Diceros bicornis minor: one gene and its partner. The protein of the gene in region 2 interacts with the protein of the main gene of each other region in a biochemical or structural test. Links are inferred from orthologs where the notes say so. Each region holds a gene or a part of one and is shown on either strand. Other genes may lie near its edges.

Region 1 (8,045 bases), on a different chromosome or scaffold from region 2:
AGAGGAGGAAATTCAGCCTCAGAGAAGGTAAGTGACTTGCACAGGCCATGCAGCAGCTGAGTGGAGACCCCAAATCCAGAACATCTGCTTATCACCCCAGGAGTCTTGCGCCAGGGCATGCCCTCACCTTCTGGTAACCGTGATTATCATCATATATATAAAATAATAACAACTGTAATAAGACCTCACACTTACTGAGCACTCAGTATGCATCTGGCATTGTTTCAGCACATTCCGTGTGTTTAGCTCATTTAATCCTCCCAGCATCCCCAAGATGGGAGTGCTGGGACTACTCCCACTTCACCTGAGAAGCCTGAGCTAGCCTGAGCCTGAGAGGTTAAGTAACAGCCCAAGCTTCCTCACCAATAAATGCCTGAGCCAGGACAGGCACTCTGGAAGTCCAACTCCACTGAACCCCTGTACTGAACCCCTGTTTAACCCATTAATTGCTTATAGTGAAGTAATGATGATTAATAAAAGGTGAAAGATGCTCGAAGAGCTTTGTTATCAAGCAACTTTCTCTCCAGAGAGTAGGGAATTTCGGGGGCAGCGGGCTTAGGGGAGAAACTATTTTATATTTTATATATCTCTGAACATCTGCCAAGTCATTGTTGGAAATATATTTTAGAGTAAGAACAGTAACCTTATCACCTGTAAAACATACAAGTCAGCCAAGCAAATTTTCACCACTAAATTCAAACTTATAAGAAAAAAAAAAAAAGCAAAGAGACTTGGGAAATCTACGAGGCTTTTGGAACTAATAAACTATGAGCAGCAGCCGACTGTGGCCCAAGCTTTCTGAAGTCCCCCGGCCCACCAGAGCACTGACGCCTTCCCTAGCCCCTGACCTCAGCCACACCGTCGGTGGCCGAGATCTGCCCTCATCTGGGCTAACAGTGAATCCCAGGCCACGTGTGCAGGGGTCACGGCCGGCATCCAGACCTTCACCGCAGGGGCAGCACAGACGCGTTGGCAGACCGCGGATCTCGCCCGCAGGGGGACACACCCCCATCGCCAGCCCCTCCAGGGAAGTCACCGACTCCTAGCTCCAGGCCCCCACAGCCGAGAACTGAAGAATCGGGTTCTAGGGGAACAGAGCAGCCCAAGGTCTGCAGTAACCTGGGAACTGCGACGGGGGAGAGAAGTAGATGTGGGTTTCTCGGCCGGGCGTGGCGAGTCCGCAGCCGTGGGATACAAGTGCCCTTTTTCATAATCAGCAAAGCCGGCGCCCCGCCTGCTCGGCTGGCAGGGATTCGGCGCAGACAGCCTGGAGTTCGAACGCTTAAAACTTGGCCATGCATCCCCACTGTCAACACCTTCTGCCTTCTCGCTGTAAAGAGTGCGTTCACTGCGAGTCCGAGGTGGCCAAATTGGGAAGAGGGACGGCCGCAGCGCCATCCTCCACGACGCCTCAGCCCACTCTCACCTGTTCCAGTGGCAGCCAGCCTCCGGTTGCGCTGTCTCCCACCGCCAGCGCCCAGGTGCCGGCTGTGCCAAGTCGTGGCTCGGCCCCTCTCCCCTCGGGTCTCCCCGCGTGGGGTCGGGGGGAGCTGTGCCGGGATTGCACCAGCGACAATCCAGGCGCGTGCGCGCCAAGGGGAAGCAGAGGCGAGATTCCCCGAGTGTTGTGCACCCCAAACCTGACGCCCGGAAGGCGGGAACTGCGCGATGCTGGGATCTCAGCCCGCCTTCCGGTAGTCCACTCCACAGTAAAATGGGCTGCACTGGGAGCTTCTGCGATTACATATCCGCGACCACCCGCTTCTCCTCCCGCTCCCTGTAGCCATAGCCACCATCCTCATCCTTGAACTCTTTGTCCAGTTTGGTGGTTATTCAAACCCCCACAGACCCGCGGAGAAAACTTGGGGTCACGTGGAAAGGAGGTTCAGCGCCTGCTTCTCCAGCGCGCGCTTTTGCAAAGCCTGGCTCCGGGCGCTTTAGAGACCGCGACGCCAAACGCGCTGGAGGAAGTCAGTGTCGCCTGAGTCCAGACACAGCGAGGCATTTTTGGTGCAAACCACAGAAGCTCATTTATAAGGGGCTGGAGGGGCCATGGAAGGAATAAGAAGGGCGATACAATGAGCGTTTAAAAGAATCTGGGATCTGTGGAAGGAGCAGCCGGGAAACCCGGATACCCCGGCTAGCCAAGTGGCGGCGCGCGGGCTGTAGGGTGTCCGCGCACGCTTCGGCCCTAGGAGGGACCGCACGTCGGAAAAAGACTGGGTAACAAGTTCTTTCGGCCTCCGCACGCTTTCAGACCCTGGTTGGAGCAGGGCACCGGGAGTGCGTCCCTAATCGCCAGACCGGCGCCGGTGAAGGGAAAGCGAGGAAGAAAAAACTCAGGCAGTTTGATGGCACCTGTCAGACCCGGGCACACGGGAGCTGCGGGCTCAGATGCCCCTCCCCCAGGCTCCACCACCTCCCTAGGACCCTCTACGTACACCCCGCGACCGCAGGGGGTGGTGGTCAAAGGTCGTCGCAGCCAGGCAGCGCGCACCCGGGCGAGTCCCAGTGCGCCCCCTCCCCAGGTCTTCAGTGTCGCAGAGGGTAGTGGGGTCTGCAGTGTGTAGGGAAAGCCCCGGAGAGCGGCTGGGTTAGGGCCGGGGGACAGGAGCACGCTTCTGCTCACCTCGCTCACTGGCCTGGATGTAGCGCACGATGTCGTCCAGGTCCAGGTCTTTGGTCTCATCGAAATTGTAGGCGGACGTGTGCAAGCCCTCCTCCTGGAAGACCTCGTGGACCCCTTCGATGGTGAAGTAGCAGTTCCGCTCCAGCTTGTCGTCGCTGTAGACCAGCGCGGCACGGCTCCACTGGTGATGGCGAAACAAGGCAAGCATCATCTCGCCCATCTTGTCGTACGCGGGCGCCACGCGCGTGAGGTGTGAGTATTCAGTGTCCTTGTGCTGGAAGCCGGCGGCCAGTGCCCCGGCCGACAGCATGGGCAAGTCCCAGTGCGATGCAAGCCGGGCCACGGGAGCCGCGGCGTACTCGCACACCGGCCCCAGGATAAGGTCCGGCTTGGCGCCCCGCGCCGCCGCCACGCGGTCCACCAGGCTGAAGAGCGCGCGGTTGCCGCAGGCTGAATCTTCGTAGGCCACCTGGAAGCGCGTGCCAGGTGGCAGAAGCCGCCACCCGGTCCCGTTGCCCTCCACGCTGCGCAGCGCGTATTCGATGGCCGGCCGCACCCGGGCCAGGGAGAACAGGTACGAATCGTCCTGGGGCAACAGCACCAGCACCTCGATCTTCTGCGGCGTCAGTACCTCTCTCTCCCGGCGCCCGCCGCCCGGGCCCGCGCCCCCGCCGCCACCGCCACCCGTGCCGCCGGCCAGCAACGCCCAGCTGAGCAGGACGCACGCGGAGAAAGTGAGCACCAGCAGGGACGGCATCGTGCCGCAGGAAAGCGCCTGCCCTGGCTGCCGGCTCGCCCTCTGCCCCCGACCCACCCTTCTTCTTTCCTCCCCACTCTTCTCTCCCAGGTCCCTGCGCCCCTTTGGGCGCTCTAAGAAAATAGAACACCCCCTTCACTAACTTGCCAAAAGATAGAGAGGAAGAGTCCTTCTTTGCAATCTCACTCGTTTAAAAAAAAAAAGAAAAAGAAGAAAAAGTTCACCGGGTGTAAACCTGTACGCCTGTAATATATTTATATATATATATACTTATTATAAATATATATATTCGCCCTCCTTATATATATACTATTTTGCTTAGAGGTGGCTTCCTATTTGGGCGTTGCAAAGATTGCTTTTGAAAGCATATTTGTAAAAGAAAAAAAAGTTAGACTTGTCCAAGTGCTTGTAATTGACGGTGCATCTCCCTCGCGTTTGATCTCATTGATTCGTGCCGGTTCCTGGATCCATAGCCCGCGTTTAAATAGCGTGGCAGCGGCTGAGCGTGTTACCACACATGGCGCGCCGAGGCCGGGGTTGTATTTCCAGCGGGTAGGGTGGGTGGGGGTGGGGAGTGGTGGGGGCTGGGCTGGGGGAGCCTCTCATTAACATTCTTACATCAGGGCTCCTCCCCGCACTCCTACCGGTCCCACCCCTCCCCTGTCCCTAACCCCCTCTCCCTGCCAGACCTCGGCCTTTTCCTTAAAGCCGCAGTCGCCCACTTCGGCACGGCCGGGAGCCCCCACCGCACCCCACCGCCTCCGGGGTCCTCGCCTCTCCCCGGCCCCGCACGCGGCAGCCCTCTCTCCAGTTCCGTGCTTTAAAAAAGGAAATGTTTGAAAGTAAAGAAACGCGCTCAGGCACACACACACCGTGCAAAAAAACCAACAGGATTAGAGACAGGAGGTGGTCCTAGAAATTGGTAGTTTCTTTGCAAAAATCCGTAGGTCCTACTCTCTCTCACCTCTTTCTCCCTCTGGCCACATTCCCTCCGGACGCGCCATCTCTGGGCAGGCACCCGACCTTCCTCGGTCCCCTGGCGCAAGGTCAAGGAACAGGGACCAAGGTCCCAGGCAGACGGCTAGACCACGGACCTGGAACGCCCAGTTTGCCGAGGCTTTACTGGCACCCCTCCTTCTCCCGCCCTCCTCAGTCCCGCGCCGGCGTCCTCCCCCCGGGCCGAGTGGGTTCGCGCTGGAGTCCCAGCGTTGCGGGGACTCCAGAGTCCCCGCGCACAGACATTCCGCCGGCGCATTGCAAGCAGAAAAGCGAAACTTGTTGCTCCCAAAGGCGAGCGAACGGTTCGGCTTCTGGAGGTGGCAAAAAGCTTGAAAAGCATCTCCAAGCCGTCCTCTGGGCTTTGCTTGCTAAACCAGGTAACTAAATAAAGAGACTTTCTCCCTAAATGGTTAGCCCAAGGGTCCCCTGGATGCAGGCGCACGCTCCGCTGCAACCCCGGCGCTTGGAAATCCAACTGCTTCTCCTCGCGGGCGCGCGAGACGCTATGCTCGGGGTTCTGCAGTGCCGAGAAAGGTCCTGCGTCCGAGACCCCGTCCTGCCTCTGGTCACAGCCACAACAGCAGTGGAGACAAGGATGGAAACGGCCGTGGGGATGTTCGTGGCCAGAGGAGCCTCGCTGGAGTCCGCGCGCTTCAGGGCAGGTCCAAATGGAACTTGACCCTCTGAACGTGGTAACACACCGAGGTCATTTGCAGTGTGAACGTGGTATATTGGACGGGAGAATTCTGACACTTAAGTCCCGCAAATTAAAATAAATTGAAAATGTTTTTAAAAGGTCTTTCATTTGACTGGGCGTCCCTGTCCGCAAATTTCTGTTAGTCTTAGACCAACGCCCTCTTTCGGCAGAAACTTGCAGCCGACTTGTATCCCTGATGCCACCTCCCCAGGCGCTGCGTTTGTGGGTTTTGTTTTTGTTTTCGTGTTTTTTTAAGCCGAGGCCTCAAAGAGCAATCCCTCTCATTTGTGACGGTGAAAAGGCAAATTGGAGTTTCCAGAGATGTGGCAACTTCAGGCATCAGCGTTGGTCGCCGTTAACGGCACCCTCCTTATCGCTCTTTCTGGCACGGTTAATGTAATTATGGGTAACGTTTCATCGTCTGGGTCATTTAGATTTCAGATTATGCAATGCGATCCCTGAATCTTCAGGTAGGACAGTCTAACTCCTGTGAGAACTTTCATTTATTTAATTTAGAGCTGCTAATCAGTAGCAAAAGAGGCATCTGTATAAAATTTAATTCCACAGAGAGGGTAATCTGCACACACTGGAATTTGAGACAGAGCTTCATAGCAATTAAATCCTCCCTAAATTCCTGGGAGGAATGAAGGAAGGGAGGGAAGAGGAGAGGAAGGAAGGAAGGGAGGGAGGGAGGAAGAAGGAAGGAAGGAGGGAGGGAAGGAAGGAAGGAAGGAAGGAAGGAAGGAAGGAAGGAAGGAAGGAAGGAAGGAAGGAAGGAGAAGGAAAGAACAGCTAAATCTCGACTTCCAAGGGTCTTAATGGATTTCAAAACTAGTTGCCAGGAGACGTGAAGGAACCAGGGTCTCCTATTACTACTCGCTATGCCCTGTGTCTGGGGAACACCGGCCAATGGCGATATGATTCTGCACACTGCGTAGCGTGGGCTTATTCGGAGAGTCTGAGGTTTCAGTGGCACCAGGCATGAATGCCTCTCCCCTTCCAGGCGCTGCCCAGCCGCGCCGAGGGTCACCGGCAGGGCAGAGCGTTTACGTGTCAGTAAGTATCGCAGCCTCTCGGTGGCCTTTGGACCAGAGCTCTCAGCTTCCAGCTTGTCACTCAAGAGCACCGACGAACCAAGCTGTGGAAGGGAAGAACCCCCAAACTAGACAGCAGAACCAGAAAAGCCAGTGTTACAGGCTTTTGCAGATGCTCAAAGCTCACCTTAAATTTTTCCAATGAGCAGAAATTAGGATTTTTTTAATTGAGGTACGAAACTGATGTATAACCTTATATTAGTTTCAGGTATACAACATAATGATTGTATATTTGTATATATTGCGAAATGATCACCACAATAAGTCTAATATCTGTTACCTTACAGTTACAAAATTTTTTTTCCTGTGATGACAACTTTTAAGATCTACTCTCAGCAATTTTCAAATATGCAATACAGTATTATTAACTATAGTTACCATGCTGTACATTATCCCCATGACATTTATTTTATAGAAATTAAGTTTTATTTTTTGTTTTTCAAATGAAAATAAGCACAAGATTCTAGGAAGACCCACCAAGTAATATAAGTATATAGATTTTAGTGTTATGAGTTTGCTTCCCGTCAAATTAGATTTTTCCCAAGAAGTTGAAAGTTTGTGTAAATATTATGAATATCATGGAGTTCTCCAAACTTAGGACTAGAAATTATCTTAGAAGTCACCCAACCTGACACCCTTCATTTTCTACGTGAAGAATCTAGGCCAAAGGTTATAAATGGCGTATTTAAATACCTCTTCATCTCCTGAGAATATTTTTAAGTGGAATTGGATTAGAAATAAAGCATGTACCGCCTATTATACCATGTAAAAGAGGGCTGGGAACAAAGCTAATTTTCATTAAGAGATAAGATTCATTGTATCAAGATTTTATTTTATATGAAGCTGTTTTGAGGATATGCAGCACAGTAAGAAAATTACTAATAGATTATAATAGAATTTTTGCAGCGTTATAATCATAAAGATGAATCAAAGGGAGAAAGAAGAAAAAAAGGAAACAAATGGAAATAACATGCCTTAGATTCAATTTTAAATATTGTTCCTTTCGATTCTATAAAACACTGAAATGGAAAAAAGGGGGGGCACTTTTGAATGTTTTCAAAAGATTGCTAACCTTTTCACTGAGTGCATTCTTTCTGACTACAATTGCTGAATGAAAACAAAAGAAAGCTACAGGGAAATGTTGTAAAATAAAATAAAAATAGCCAAAAGAAGGGTAATGTTAGCCCTAAATGTGATGAAACTAATAGACTTTTTATAGCATTTAGAAATATTTTCATCGCTACCCACAAATCGTATTTTTTTTAACTTCAAGTTGCTAAAATAAGGTGGCAAGTTTTCTATCAAGTATTCAACGGTTTGTTTTCCAATTGTGGAATGAAACCGGTGTCTATATGTTATTCCTCTGCCACCAGGAAAGATGGCAATATATAGGGCACCTCAGCATGTGATTCTTTGAAATGTGTTAGAAATGCTATCAGAAGTTTTCTCCAGCAATTGTCGTGGTCCGTATGACCTTCTCCCTCAGAATCCTGGCAGCAGCCTCTAAAGTAAGAGCCCTTCCAGATTTTCAAAGAGAATCTCTTGTCCCTTGTTAAGCCAGCGCTGAAGTCACGTTGAAGAATACCCCTGTGAAGTCTGTAGCCCACAAAGAAAATACCTTCTGGGGACAGAATTGTTGAAAACACACTTCCCCCTAGAGGCAGAAAAGATGAAAGAATATTACACATGATTTAAGAACATTTGTGTAAATCAATGAGTGTTGAGATTTTATTTTTGACGTATAGTTGATGTTTTAGAGGGAACCATTCAAAACATGGGAGGAAAATCAATGAATGCCAAAACATCAAATTAAAACTTTGCCTCTAGGTCTTAGCTTTCTTTAGCAGGGACTCTGTTAATTGACCCCTT
Region 2 (6,934 bases):
ATAAAAATAAAAACTGTAGCCAAAAGTACTAGCTGTGCAAAAATTGTCTATTGAGTACAAGCTACATTAGATATAACCAGAAAAAAAAAAAGATGTCTGTAAGTTTTCTTTTTAATAAATAAGTGCCTTGAATGTGAGCAAATCTGAATAAAAATAAGTGCCCTTTTGGTCTCCTGGGGCTTTTTCAGGATCTGTGATGAAGCTGGAGCGAGAGTCAGAGCAGGCAGAGAACTGCAGTGTGAGCCCCACCCCATCCCACCCCCGCAAAAAAAGGAGGAAAGAATGAGAGGAGGAAGAATCTGTCCAAGCCCACAGAATGTACAGCACCAAGAGTGAACCCCTATGTGAGGTATGGACTTTGGGTGATGACGATGTGTCAATGCAGGTTCATAGACTGTAACAAATGTGCCATCTAGTGGGGATGTTGATAGTGGGGGAGGTTGGGCATGTGTTGGGGGCAGGGAGTATATGAGAAATCTATGTACTTTCTGCTTAATTTTGCTATGAACCTAAAGCTTCTCCAAAAAATAAATTTTATTGTTTTTAAGAAGGAGGAAGAAAGAAACTGAACATTCTTCTCTGGGACAAAAGGTAAAATGAAAATCATGCTGAATTCTCTTTCCCGGGAAGCGAAACAAATCACTCCAACCCGAGCCTTCGGCTTCTGTCCGTGGTGCTGAAGTTTATTCATTTCTCAAATGGCTTCCAGTTAACGGGTGAGGGTCTGCCCTAAAATTTAATGCATAGGGTGGGAGAAGTGGGGAAGCCACAATTAAGCCACTTTACCTACATTTAGCATAAAATGTGAGAAATGTGGACAGAAGGCTGCAGCTTGAATAGGGTGCTCGTCACAACTCAGCTTGAGGGCAATGAGATGAGACAAAGTTGAGTGAGAGACCCCGGGGGATGAGGGTCTCTCGCAGTCTGCCCGGGGCCTGGCCCGCCTTGTCCTCCCTGGCCGTTATCTTCGGTACTACAAAGAGAACACAGACATGTTTGACTTGGTGACCTGGCTCTACTGGAAACATCAACTTCGTAGGACTGTGGTCACTTCCCATAGACCCCACTCCAGCCTGAAAACTCCCTGAGTTTCATGAACTGGTACACAAGTTGCTCATTAGGAGCTCAAAGGTCATCCCTGGTCAATTTCAATCCTTTGGGATCTGACAAATTTGGAATCTGGAGAGGAACATGAACTGCCAATCAGCAGTGCGAAGGCAACTTGCCCCATGAACATTTAAAGTGCCCAGTGCTCGTGGCATAACTTTTTTTCTTAGCATTTCCTCAGCAGCCTGTAGCTGAGGATGATGTCATTGTCCCAAGATTCATGGGGCACCCACCAAGTTGGCGCAGAAATTTCAAAGGGAGTAAGCTTCTATGCTGGTCCCTTCCGGCAGAAGGCGTCCCCTGGTGGTATACTTTGACAAGGTTTGAGCCTCAACAAAACCACAACTTCCTAACTTCCTTCCTCCCCATCCCATTTCCATCCCCGGCTCCTCTTACCCGGAAGCTGTTGCAGCCCAGTCCACTCTGGGCTCCAATCCTGTCCATCCTGCCCCCGAAGCAGCTGGACCTCCGCAGGCTCCGAGGGGCAGCGAGCAGTGCCCTCAGCTTGCTTTTCAGGAGGGCAGATCTATCAGAGGAGTCCCAGGGGCCCCGCCCGAGGGCACCCCCATCTCTCTGGGCTGGGTTGACCTCCCCGGTCCAGGGAGGCACCTCAGCAAGGGGGCTGAGAGCAGCCCCACCTTCCTCACTCTGCTCACTTAGTACTTGTGGGGGCATGACCTCATCTTCTAAGGGCATCTTGTCCTCCAAACGGTCCAGCAAATTCTTTACAAAAGGAAAACACAGGGAAAGGGAGAGGTCTCACCCACGGGCACAATGTCACAGAGCCCCCTGGTCCCAGAGTGTGCCCTCTTTCCCAGCCCTACCTTGAAATCCATCAGGTCTGCGTTGGACACAGAGCCATACACGGGGTTAGCTCTGGTTTGCCCCGGGAGCTGAAATGCCAGGAAGAGAAGGAAGCTTGTGGTGATGGTGGGGAAGGAGCCCATGCTGGTCACAGAGTGGTCTGGTGCTCGCCGCCTCTTCCCTCTCCTCCCTGGTTTCCCTCTCTCGGCCTTCGTCCGTCTCTGTCTCCCAGCTGCCCTGCGCCTCCTCTTTTTATAGGCCCCCGGCTCTCCGAGAACGCAAGAGGGATGGAACCCTCCCCATTCTGTCACTTGCAGCGATAAAGCAGCTGAGTGAGGAGCCAGCAGAAGATGCCCTTTTAAAGTTATCAGTCCAGCGGAGCTTGTCACAGCCCCTCCGCCTTGAGCAGCCCCAACAACCCCCGGGACCCTCGGCTGCAAGAGCCACATTCTTGTTGATTTGCCTCAAGAGGTTCCCACTTCAAAGGTGTGAGAAGAGCAAAAAAGAGTCCTTGGTTATCTCACAGCGATGCCTCGGGCTCCTTTCTCCTCGGCAACGGGACTCATGCCGGGAAGCAGAGGGTGACAGTTGGCGGGCACCCAGCTCCCCCGGTTGGTTTGTGGCTCAGCTGTCAGGGCCTCCAAATAAGGGCGGGAGAAGAGGAAATGGCAGGCAGCCGGCAGCTCGGGACAAATTAGTCCAGATGCTCTAGCCGGCCTCACACCTGACTCATCAGCGGCGAGGGCAGCCCTCTCGCTCCACCAGGGCTGGCCTTCTGGCAGTCACTCTCCGCAGTCAGGTGAAGAGGGCGTTATGTTTTAGAGTACTAAGTCAGCCGGGAACCAAATGTGATGAATGACCCAGGAATTTGGCTCCCAAATTTCAACACCAAGGAAAGTTTTGGGAACACAATCATTCCTCTGCAAAGCTCCTCCTCCTTCGACCCCTCCACGACCCCCCTCCAAGGTGCTGAGGGAGGTAGACACTGAGAGGATGCAGCATTTTCGTTTCTTCAACTTGCTGCTTATAGAAACTCAGACTCTTTGAGTATGAAGCTTGTAATTCCCCTGCCCTTTCCTGGAAAGCTCCCATGGCCAGTTGGCTGATGGAGTGAGGTGGGAGGCGAATGTAACACAGTTTCCCTTAACGCCTCCATTTTCCTGGCCCCCAAAAGAGAAATAACAGGCAGTGAGGCCACATTTAATGAGTGGCCTCCATTCGCTAAGCACATACTCAACCCTAGCATGCTACTCAACAGAGCGTATGCTGGGGGAAAACACTAAATTTGAAGGGATGAGAGACCTGCATTGTAGCCCAAAACAAACCAAGCTGCATATGTCTTTGGGCCTTATTTTCCTCATCTGTAAAATGAGGAAAGTGAAAAAACCTAAGGTTATCCTGAGGCTCAGAAGTAATGTGTGGATGCATTTTGAAGTGTGAAGTGCTGTGTAACTGCGAGATGGTAATCGCGCTTGCCTGTATTGGTCAGCTGTGACGTGCCAGACACTGAGCTGAGAGCTTCATGTGGTTACTTCATTTTTGTCACCACCCCCAGGAGCTGGTGGTCTTGTTGCCATTTACAGAGGGACAGGACTGAGACTGAGAGCTTTGTCACTTACCCAAGGTCACTCAGCTCATAAGCGGCAGAACCAGGACTTGCACCCAGGTATGACACCAATACACACAGTCCTCACCCATTTCACAGACACTGCTGCTGCGTAGCGCGATGGTCTCTTAACAAGCCCTCTGGCAGTCCCTGATTGAACACACCCCCATTCCCAGTCTCTCAGGGTGACTCTGAGCAGCTCCTTCTCCTGCCCCCTGCCTCGGGGCTGCAACTTCGTGTACTTGGCAGGTCTGTGTGCGTGTGGAACATCCATCTCCGCCCCTGCCAGACCCCTCCCTAGCTGAGCTGACTCCCTGGCTGATCAGGTGGAAAGGCTGTTATACGGCAAGAGGGCAGGAAACCAGGGCAGAACGTGGCCAGAGGTCACAAGAGGTGTCCAGGGCAATTTTATTCTAAGAAGGAGAAAGAAGCCCTCTTCAGTCACTGATTTGGGTCAGCCAAACTCAACTTGAAATCCAAGGTGGGTGCAATTCTGGGTAGCGCTCCCGGGGCAAAAAACCATCGTATCCTGACGAATCCCTGGAATGTGCTCACAGCTTAATTGCTCGGTTGGCAGGGTTATTATTAGCAAAGAGGATTCAGTGAGCAGCCACGCTGCGGGGAACCGATGCTCCTTGCTGCTTGCGTCACACAGCCTGTCTCCTGGAGATGCCCTTTGAGACTGGCCTTTGATGCAGGCGAAGACTTCCAGAAGGGTATCGTGGCGGGTGGCCCCTGCCTTGGCTTGGCCTCTGAGGGCCGATGCTGCTCCTCTGTCCTGAGCTACTTCTGAAGTCTGTAGGTGGCCTGAGGAGAAGCGGAAGTCCCGCCCCAGGTTCCAGAAAGGGACTTTCAGAATTTGCCCACCTCCTTTTATTAAAGTCACTTTTCCTCTTCTAGAGTGAAACCGGAGTGGGCCGTGAGTGTCATTTGTTGAGTTTCTTCTATTAGCTGGGGTTTTTTTCGTTTTCCGTTTTTTGTTTTGCAGAAGGGCGGTGACAAGAAAAAAGAACATTCAGGTTTGCTGCTGAGGACTTTGTGAAGAACCAGCACCACCTCCTGCACTAACTGGACCCAGTGAAAACACAGACAACCCCCAAATACACTTGTTACCCCAAATCCCAGTAAAGCCTTTGATTTGAGCCTGAAATGGAAAATGGCTTGATGTAAAGTTTCTCTTCATTTCCAAGCCCCTGCTCAACTTTGGGGTGTGTGTGTGGAGGAGTTAATATTTAAAGGGGTGTTTAGAAGCCAGCCTGTAGGAGTGAGAGAGAAGAAAAGCAAAAGACGCAGGAAGCCAGATCCGCCCCCACCCCCACCTCTCCCACCAGATGAAAAACCAAAAGCCTTTCTTTCCGTATCGCTGGGAAGAAGTCATCTTAGTCGTGTGATGGAATGAGCGTTGCAGATGGGTGGATGAATCCAGAACTGGGGTGTCTCCAGTTTCTAGCCCACTTTGGTTTCACAACCCTCCATGGGGATGCTGGGGGCTGCTTTGGGGAACCACAAGGTCCCAGCAATGTTGCACATGTGCAGAACTGGTGTGAAAAGCTCACCATGTTCATGGCACAATCTGTCACACCCAGATGGTCTAAAGCAGAAGCCCCAGTTGGGAGAAACTGGTAGGACACTGGTGTGTACTTAGGGACTGTTGTTTCTGACTTTGAAAATGATGTTGTGTTTCTTTGGTACAATATGGAGATCACTGGACTGGAAGTCAGGGGCTGGTTCCCTAGAAAAAAAGCCTGAGGAAAAGTCAAGTTGCTAAAGCTTTATGGGGGCTCCAGTTCAAGGGAAGCAAGAGTGATGGAAAAAGGAAGTGAGATAGTGTATTAGTTAACTATTGCTGCATAACAAGTTGCCCCAAACCTCAGCAACTTAAAACAACACACATCTATTATCTAGTAGTTTCTGTGACCAGGAATCTGGCCCTGCTTGGCCGGGTGCCCCTTGCTCAGGGCTCTCAGAGGCTGCCATTCAGGTGTTGTCTGGGGCTGCGGTCATCTCAAGGCTTAGCTGGGGGATCTGCTTTCAAGCTCACTCCTGTGTCCGTTGACAAGCCTTGGGTCCTCGCTGACTGTTGGCTGGAGATGTCAGTTCCTTTCCACAAGGGCCTCTCCATAGAGATGCAACTGACTTCCTTTAGGTAGAGAGAGAGAGAGAGATTATGTAAACCACAGTCTCTTTGGAGCCTCATCTTGGAAGTGGTATCCCCTCATTTTTGTTGTACTGTGTTCATTAGAAGTGAGTCACTGGATCCAGCCCACACCCAGAGGGTGGAGATTACCCAAGGGCATGAATACCAGGAGATGGGGATTATCAGGGGCCATCTGAGAGGCTGCCCACCACAGGTGGGGAAAGAGGAGAGCTGATACAAAGTGATACGTTACCAAGCCGGCCACAGCTTTGCAAAAACACCTTAGTGGTTGGTTGGTCACGCTGCACATCTCCAGAGAGCTTCCTGGAACCTGGCACCCTGGAACAGCCTGTGAGGAGAGAAAAAGATGAGGGAACTGCCTTAGATCTCTAGGGATGCTGTAACAAAGTACCACAAACTGGAGGGCTTAAAACAACAGAGATGTATCGTTTCACAGTTCTGGAGGCTGGAAGTCTGAAATCAAGGTGTCACAAGGCCATGCTCCCTCTGAAATCTGTGAGGGAGAATCCTCGCTTGCCTCCTCCAGCTTCCGGTAGCCGCCGGCGGTCCTTGGCATCCCCCGACTGGCAGAGGCATCACTCCAACCTCTGCCTCTGTCGTCACCTGGCTGTCTTTCCACTCTGTGTTTCTTTCTCCTCTTCTTATAAGGACACCAGTCATATTGGATTAGGGGCTAACTCTACTCCGGGATGACCTCATCTTAAATAATCACATCTATAATGACCCTGTTTCCAAATAAGGTCACATTCTGAGGCTCTGGATGTTTAGGACTTCAACACGTCTTTTAGGGGAACATAACTGAACTTGTAACAAGCGCTGCATCTGTAGGCTCCTTTTCACCGCTTGTCTCTCACTAGTCAAAGCGTCGCTTTCACCCTCACCCCACTCCTACCAGGGCCGTGAGCTCCCCTGCACTTCTGGGCTGTGCTACCCAGTTCCTTCAGGCAGTGGCCGAGGAAACTGGAGACTGCTGTCCAGTGCACCCATGAAACCCGTGCATTGGCTTCGCAATCTCTCCTGGCCAGTCGATCCTGCTTGGCGAGGGGAGGGGGAGAGTCAGGGGTGGGGGGTGGTATATGGAGGTGGAGACGGGGCCAGATAGCAGCCATGAGAACCAGGTCAGCCATTGTTAAGGCCGCATTTTCCAGGAAGCCAGAGGTGCAGGCCAAGCAGGTATGAGGCACCCCAGCATACCCCAGCACCTAGCACAGAGCTGGCACATACTGATTCTTTGGAAAATATTTTCCGAATGATTGAAT

Evidence for each region. The genes of interacting proteins can lie anywhere in the genome.
Region 1: the proteins of NPPA (region 2) and NPR3 form a complex in vitro, tested with the Homo sapiens proteins (4 studies listed by BioGRID, with this or other methods). The link is inferred for Diceros bicornis minor from reciprocal best matches to the Homo sapiens genes NPPA and NPR3.

The regions. Positions count from the first base shown.
Region 1 is NC_080759.1:35,664,498-35,672,542, forward strand, and holds the start of NPR3 (atrial natriuretic peptide receptor 3), read right to left. Parts: upstream 3,393-8,045; 5' UTR 3,387-3,392; coding exon 2,630-3,386; intron 1-2,629. UniProt on the Homo sapiens protein: Receptor for the natriuretic peptide hormones, binding with similar affinities atrial natriuretic peptide NPPA/ANP, brain natriuretic peptide NPPB/BNP, and C-type natriuretic peptide NPPC/CNP.
Region 2 is NC_080752.1:30,966,136-30,973,069, forward strand, and holds NPPA (natriuretic peptides A), read right to left. Parts: upstream 2,058-6,934; 5' UTR 2,055-2,057; coding exon 1,932-2,054; intron 1,831-1,931; coding exon 1,504-1,830; intron 974-1,503; coding exon 962-973; downstream 1-961.